Linked DNA regions of Oryctolagus cuniculus. The protein of the gene in region 2 purifies or fractionates together with the protein of the main gene of each other region. This does not show direct contact. Links are inferred from orthologs where the notes say so. Each region holds a gene or a part of one and is shown on either strand. Other genes may lie near its edges. The genes, in order: SIRT5 and GLS.

Region 1 (4,289 bases), on a different chromosome or scaffold from region 2:
AAAAGACAGTCTTTTTAGTAACTGATGCTGGGGAAATTGGACACCCACACGCAGAAGAACAAAATTAGAACCTTATCTCCCACCATACACAAAGATCAACTCCAAACGGACAAGACACTTAAATATAAGACCTGAAGTTATAAAACCAGAAGAAACGTAAGAGAAAAGCTCCACAACGCTGGCCCAGGTTAGTCCCTGAGAAGCGCAGGCAACGAGAGTAAAATCATACAAATGGGACCGCATCAAATTAAAAAGCTCTGTGCAGCAAGGGGAACCATTAACAAAATGAAGAAAAAAACACATGGATGCAGAGACAGTACCTGCAAGTCACATGGCTGATAAGGGGCTAGCACAGGTATCTAAAACAGACCCAAACAATTCAACAGCAACAAAACAGCCTAATTTTTAAAATGGGCAAAGAAGCTGAATGGGAACTTCTCCAAAGAAGACACACGACTGGTTAGTAGATACGTGAAAAATGTGCACTATCTCTAATCATCAAAAAGGGCAAATGAAGCCACAGTGAACCGTCAGAAAGGTGTCAGCAAGGATATGGAGAAAAGGCAATGTTGGTGCAGTTAGTGGGCATGAAATTAGTGCAGCCATCATGAAAAATAGTGCAGAGGTTCCTGGAAGAACTAGAATGGGGCAGGCATTTGGCCTCGTGATTGACATCAGCTAAGAAGCCCACATGCCGTATCAGAGAACCTGGGTCCAATACCCAGCTCTGGCTCCCAATCCCAGCAGACTGCCAATGCGGACTGTGGGAAGCAGGAGGTGATGGATCAAGTAGCTGGTTGTTTTTTTGTTTTGTTTTGTTTTGTTTTGTTTTAAGATTTATTTATTTGAAAGGCAGGGTTACAGAGAGGCAGAGAGCGAGAGAGAGTACGAGAGAGAGAGAGAAAGAGGGAGAGATCTTTCATCCACTGGTTCACTCCCCAAATGGTCACAACAGCTGGAGCTATGCTGATTCGACCCCAGGAGCTAAAGATAGAACTACCAGTAACCTCACTTCAGGGCAAACATCCAGAGGAATAAAAATCAGTATGTCAAACAGAACTTGATGTCTATACTCATTTCAGCATTATTCACAATAGTCCAGATATGGGGACAACTTAAGTACCCATCAAAGGATGAAAGGATTTTAAAAAACATATATTATACACGGAAACAATGGAAAACTATGCAGCCTTTAATGAGAAGTTCTGCCACTTGCGACAACATGGGTGAACCTGGAGGACGTGGTCCTACATGAAATAAGGCAAATAAGGCAAATACTACATGACCTCACTTACAGGAAGAATATAAAAAGCAGAATAAACATTTAGCTGAGGCTGGAGAGAGAGGGGGAAAGGGGAGAGGCTGGGCAAAGGGCAGAATTTGAGATGGAGGACTTAGTGAACTTTTGCACAGAGTGATGACTACAGTTAATTTTTAATAACTATACACTTCTGGGGCCACTGTTGTGATATTGCGGGTTACGCCGCTGCCTGGGACACTGGCACCCATATGGCTGCTGGTTCAAGTCCTGGCTGCCCCACTTCTGATCCAGCTCCCTGCTGATGCGCCTGGGAAAGCAGAGGAAGGTGGCCCAAGTGCTTGGGACCCCTCACCCACATGGGAGACAGCGAAGAAGCTCCTGGCTCCTGGCCCAGCTCTGGCTGTTGCGGCCATTTGGGGAGTGGACCAACAGATGGAAGACCTCTCTCTCTGTAACTCTGCCTCTCAAATAATTTTTTTTTTAAATTATACATTTCAACATTGCTAAAAGGGATTTTAAATGTTCTCATCACAGAAAATAGGCTGTAATTAGATGAATGGATCTATCCCAATGTACACGTACACCAAAACCTCACATTGTGCCCCTAAATATAGACAATTAGAAACGAAATTTGTTTTGAAACATTTAAGTGAAGACAGAAAAAAAACGACTCGGTAGCGTATTGCAAAGGGGCTACGAACACGTCCACGGGTGTCCCCGACTGAACGAACCCAAGCCGGAACACAGACGTCCTCGGGCGTCTACACTGGCAGAATCCGCTCTCGCCAAGGTCACCTCCGCGGCGCTCAACCCCACTTCCTTCCCCAGGAGGTCACGCCCGACCTCGGCCCCGGGCCATCGCGGCCCCGACAGCCGCGTCCAGCCGCCGCCCGGCGCCGCGGGCCCGAGGACTCGGCGCTGACCGCTCGCTTCCGCAGGCGCCGCCGCCGCCGGGCTGGGCCGCAACGCGCGCTCCTCCGCGGCCCGGCGCCCTTCCTCAAACGGAGGCGCCCCCTCCGTCCACCCGCTCCGGCCCCGCGTCTCCGCCCTGAGACCCCGGCCCCTGCCCGGGACCCTCCCCGCGGCCTTCGAGGCTCCCTCACGCAGTCACCTGGGTCCCCACCGCGCTGCGCACTCGGCCACTCTCGGGCCCGCCGCCCGCATCGCCCCCCGCGCGAGGCCCCCAGTCCCCTCGTCGCCAGCCCAGCCGCGTCCCGCGCCCCGAAGCCCCACACCACACGCCCCCGACGCCCCCCAGCCGCCGCGGCGGGCCGGGGCCACGCAGCCGCCTCAGGGCCACGCATGCGCGGCGCAGGCGCGCGCCACCGCCGCCGAGCCGCCCGCGGCGCGAGGACGCAAGGTCGCGTCCCGCGGGACAGCTGGCTCGGCCGGACCCCACCCCGGGCCGGGGCGGTCGCCCGTGGCCGCGGGGTCCCCGCGCAGCGCGGGCGGAGACGCACCTGCGGGAGGCGGGCAGGGCGGGCGAGGTGTGGCGCGGCGCTGGCAGCGGGAGGCCGCGGGGCGGAGCGGCGGGGCGCCCTGCCCCGGCTGCGGCGCCCCCTGCTGGCCGCCCCGACCCCGCCGGGCTCCCGGCGAGAAGGGGGCGGTCCCCAGGCCTGCCCGCGGCGGAGCGTGGCTTTGTCTTCCTTCCCTTGGGGATCTGCGGGGCGGGGCGCGCGTGAGCTCCGAGGTTCCCCGCACGCCCGCAGCAGGCGGCTCGCACCGCTGAAGGAGTGAGCGTCCCGCGTGCGGGGTGCGTGGGTGCCCAGGCTACCCACCGCGGCGGCTAGGATGCGCTCACATCTGCCGTCTGTCCTTTTCTCCCGCAGCACCGCGTTTGCGGAGGTAGGGGGCAGTGGTCAGCGATCTTGGGGCAAAAAAATGGCACTTTAAACATGTTTTTTTCCGGGCTGGGGTTGTGGCGGGGTGAGCTAAGCTGCCGCCTGCCGGCGCTGGCATCCCAAACGGGAGCTGGTTGGAGTCCCGGCTGCTCTGCTTCTGATCCAGCTCCCTGCTAATGCACCTGGGAAAGCGGAAGATGGCCCAGTGCTTGGACTCCTGCATCCCCCTGGGGAGACCTGGATGGAGTTCCTGGCTCCTGGCTCTGGACTGGCCCAGCTCTGGCCGTTGCAGCCATTTGGGGAGTGAACCAGCAGATAGAGGATCTCTCTCTCTCTCTCTCTCTCTCTCTCTCTCTCTCTAACTCTGCCTCTCAAGTGAATAAATAAATCTTTAAAAACGGAAAGAGACAGAAATGTATATGACCTTCGCCAAAACAAAAAAAAAACTTTTAAAATAAATAAAATTTTAAAATCTCTGTCCTTGCAAGATGGTAAGTTCCCTGAAAGTGGCCTCCGTGTGTGTGTGTGTGTGAGTGTGTCTTCCTGTGATCGTCCAAGCACATCAGGGTCCCTAATGCTGTGTTCAATTAGTAAATACGCATTCCATGCCCAGACTCGAAGGACAGAGGCTTGGCTACCCGTAACAGAATTTAAAGGCAAAGCCCCCTGTCTCCCCCCACCCCTCCCATTTTTTGGTTGTGAATCTGTCTACAACAGCACATGACCAAAACAACAACAGCAAATGAGCAAAGGGGCACCTGTGAGGATATTTGGAAAAGTTCATGGAAAATGGGATTAAAAATTAAATTTAGAGGCAGGCGTTTGGCGCGGTGATTAAAGATGCCCACGTCCCGTATGGAAGCTCCTGGGTTCAAGTCCTGGCTCTGCTCCCTGTTCCAGCTGCCTGTTAATGCAAAACCTTGGGGGGCTGGGGGGCAGCAGGTAGTGGCTCCGGTAGTTGGATCCCTGCCACTCACCTGGGAATGAATTCCTGGCTTTGGCCTGGCTCAGCCCCAGCCACTCTGGGTATTCAGGGAGTGAACCAGTAGGTGGGAGCCCTGTGTTTCTCTGCCTCTCAAATTTCAAAAGAAATATTTTTGATGCAAAAAAAAAAAAAAGTCATGCATCTTTCTTTGTTAATAACTTTGGAATCTGCACTAAAGGCAGGAGGGTGGTCTTGCCTGCGC
Region 2 (3,770 bases):
TCCGGGAGACGCCTAGCGTTCCCAAATGTAACTTCATGAAGAGCCCAGAGCAGCAACGGAAATGCAGGTGGATAATATCCAGCAGCCTAGCCTTAGACACACAATTTGTGTTCTGTCAACTCGAAACCACAGGGCATCTGAGAAGCAGGATTGGCTCCACAAGGGACCCTTTGCTTTCTCTGGTAAGGACGGGGAACAGTGGGCTCCTGCGACCACTGTGTGGCCAGGGGGAGAACTCCTGTGCTTTCCCGTCCTAAGTGTGCTGCTGGGGCCGTGCTGTGTAGAGCGCTGGAGATGAAGACTTGAACTGAAGAAGTGCCAGCAGCGATTAGTCAGCAAAGCCCTTAGCAACAGCAGCCATCCCTGTAAAACTCAGAGCCCAGCAGATGACGGATCCCGTGAGGCCGGTCTTCTCCCCACGTCCCTCCCCTCCCCTCCCGCCCTGTACGTGCAGCTCTGCCTCACACCCACTCTCTCTGCCTCCCTGCTGCTCTCCCTCCCTTTCCTGCTTAGCATCTCCTGAACCTTCTGCCCTTTTAAGGGGGTCATCGAATGGAACGAATCAGTTTTAAAAAGGCATCTTTAGCATTTTTGGATACAGTTTGGTAACCTGTTCTTAATTTTTCAAATCAGGTAAGTAACACGTTACACATATCTATGTGTTACTCCAAAAACACCCCAGCTAATTAAGTGGCCTTTTGGGCATTCATTAGTTTGGGGACATGGGGGCTGAAGGAATCCACAGTTTCTCCACAGCATGTGATCATCTGTCTTTGGGGAAAAATTGAATGCTGAGTGCAAGTTACTTCTTTCAAAAGTCTTCCATGAAATAATGAAAATGCCAACTTGAAGAAGAATACACTAAATGTGCGCTACTATGTTATACTTCTAGGTGACTAAGATTCTATGAAATACTCCTCCAAAAAATTACCTTAGGTCTTTAGTTTCCGTGTTGGAATAGTTGACTATCTAGTTACCAAATTAGTTCCTTAAGCAACTCTGCCTGTCAGCTGCATCTACTTCCACATGCCTACAGGCTAATTTATGGCCAAAAAAAAAAAAAAAATCAGATACACAAAGCACAGTAAACATTTCCAGCATGTGTCCCGCAGTGTTTAGCTGGGATTATAAACAGGGTTGGGGCAGGGCAGTGGGAGGGGCTCTGCAGTTTCTTGCTGTAGAAAGAGCTGGGCTGGGCATTACATTTGGGGCTAAGAGGCCGGACTGTGACTCTGACATGAGGTTTTTTAGAATACTGCAATAAAAAGCCACTTTAATCACAGAGTTTTAAAACAGCTACAGAAAGAGCTACATAACCAAGAAGTTACCACTTAAAAAATTGCCAGCAACTCTCAGACACGTAACTTTCCTGCTGAACCAAAAGACGAAAGCCCTGATTCAAAAATAGTTCAAGCTATTTAGTACTCAGAGAGAGGAACCAACTTGCTCCAAACTTCGTACAGCTCCCAGGTCTCAGATACCAAAAGCAAACGCAAACTTTTTTCCTTTCTTCTAAGCTCTAATTTCATTCAGTGACTCGTCCACTCCAGTTTACACTGTCCAAATACGTGAGTACAGAGTTCGTTGTACACCTCTACACTTCAGCTACAGTCTGCCCCGTGCCTTGGCCCCCTGAAGACCTCATTTGTCACAGGGTGAGCCAGTATCAGTATCACCAGGAGGGAAAGGAACAGACAACACTCCTTCACACCCACCCCCACCCTGAGATCAAATTTCTCCTTTTGTGCCTTCCAATCTCCTGTCTTTCCCAAAGCACCGATTACAATTCCGCTTCCACAAAGCCTTTACAAACATTCTACTCAAATACAGGAATTTGAACAAATTCCAATATATTCATTTTAGCATTCTCTAACAGCAGTTCCCTTACATATTTTGTATATGCTCTTCTAAATATTTACCTCGTCTACCTTGTGTACCTAAGAGCCCTGTGTGGACAAAATTCCCATTTTACTTTTTCAAACACAAAGAACCCTTTTCTTTTACAAAATATGAAGGCCAGTCAAACCAACTTGAAAATTTCCAAATAAGATAACATTCTTACTAAGAAATAGGATATGGGAGACAGAATCTATGCAGCAGAACAAGGTTTTGCTTGTTGACTTCATAACAGGTTCACGAATGTCTTAGAGTATTTAAGTACACCATAACAATATCACAGCTCTGTAGAATGACATACTGACTGGCCAATGATTTAAGAAGATAATGTGAGTTCTTACCTGTCCTTGGGGAAAGGGTTTACTTTGCAAGCTTCCAGCAAAAATTTAACAACTTCAACGTGACCTATATCCCATCCCACCCCGAAGAAAAGGGCAGATTTTAGTATTGAGTAGAAATTAAACCTGAAAAAAAGAAATAGGATGTGTGGTTCACATATTACCCTCTGCAGCAGCTACGTGGAGTGCTGTTCTAGAATCGTAGTCCCGCTGTTCCATGTCCATGGCTGACAAAGCAAATCTGAAAATTTGTAAGCATGGCTATTCATCAGTACATAACATTTAATTCACACTTGCAACATTTACCCCATAGGTTAAAGCTAAGAGTCTCTCAGATGTCATTCTTCACCAGGCTCATTAGTGGTAATGAGAGAACTGTTCAACCACTACACAGGTGTCCTGGGTAAATACCATTTCCCGACTTGTCCTTACCCAAGCACTTTGGGGGGAAAGATGAAATGTTAGCCATCTTTCACCGAACTACACTTCATTCATATTATTATTCAAAACTCAAGAATAATGGTACAACTATGCCAAAATTTATGTCTCAGAAGGGCAAGAAATTAATACCTGTAGTATACTTCTGTGTGTTCACTAGGACTCCCATTCTTTAACATTTGATAGGCTATGGTTTACACGTAAGATTCAGGCTTTTTATGAAGGGTAGAAATTAACCATAGACATTTTTTCACTTGAAAGTTTGATCAGCTATAGGGCAGGCGTTTGTGCAATGGTTAAGATCCCACTCGAGGTGCCCACATCCAAAATTAGGGTGCTAGGGTTAGTCCCAGCTCTGCTTTCAACGCCAGCTTCCGGCTCATGTGCACCCTGAGGGGCAGAAAATGAGATTCGGGTACTTGGGAACCTGCCACCCTTGTGGGAGACAGTTAAGTTCCTAGCTCCCAGCTTTGGCCGACCCAGCTCAACTGCTGCAGGCATGTGGGGGGTGAAGCAGCAGATGGAAAAGGCGGCACACATGCACACTCTTGCTTGCTCTCTGAAAAATAAGCCAGCTGCAGCCTTACTGTACAAGAGACCTTAGACTGGTATACAGCTTACTGTGGTACACCTTACTGTGGTATACAGCCTTTCCGATCCTGGTGATCCAGAGGACATTGAACACTCCTATGTGGGGAGCAACTCGGACTAGACTAAGTTACTGGAATTAAGACTTATTCTATGCATCTGCTCTCCCACAATATGGCGCTGGGAGAGGAGTAAACAGCTTCTGCACAGCTGCCTCTCACCAACTTGACAAGCTGCAGGACCTGCTCCTGATTGGAGGAGAGCAGCGTACTTGGCGTGTGGGTAGCAGAGTTGGGATTGGTGGAAGAGGACTATAAAGGAGGAGAGAGACAACATGCACCAGGAACATCTATCTGAAGGAACAGCTGAGCAGCCCCCGAGAGAGCCGGCCGGCGGTGTGCCGCTCCCCCGCGGAAGTGGGGAAAGTGGCAGGGGGAACCGCCCCTCCACGGAGGTGGAAGGGACGGTAGCCAACCCGGGAAGAACCAGCAGCAAACCCGGGGAGGGCCG

What was found.
Region 1: the proteins of GLS (region 2) and SIRT5 purify together in Homo sapiens (affinity purification with western blotting; 3 studies listed by BioGRID and IntAct, with this or other methods). This does not show direct contact. The link is inferred for Oryctolagus cuniculus from reciprocal best matches to the Homo sapiens genes GLS and SIRT5.

The regions. Positions count from the first base shown.
Region 1 is NC_091436.1:157,060,670-157,064,958, forward strand, and holds the start of SIRT5 (NAD-dependent protein deacylase sirtuin-5, mitochondrial), read right to left. Parts: upstream 2,862-4,289; 5' UTR 2,722-2,861; intron 2,708-2,721; exon of another isoform or gene 2,373-2,707; intron 2,169-2,372; exon of another isoform or gene 1,993-2,168; intron 1-1,992. UniProt on the Homo sapiens protein: NAD-dependent lysine demalonylase, desuccinylase and deglutarylase that specifically removes malonyl, succinyl and glutaryl groups on target proteins.
Region 2 is NC_091434.1:49,346,183-49,349,952, forward strand, and holds part of GLS (glutaminase kidney isoform, mitochondrial), read right to left. Parts: intron 2,476-3,770; coding exon 2,399-2,475; intron 2,302-2,398; coding exon 2,238-2,301; intron 1-2,237. UniProt on the Homo sapiens protein: Catalyzes the first reaction in the primary pathway for the renal catabolism of glutamine. Plays a role in maintaining acid-base homeostasis. Regulates the levels of the neurotransmitter glutamate, the main excitatory neurotransmitter in the brain.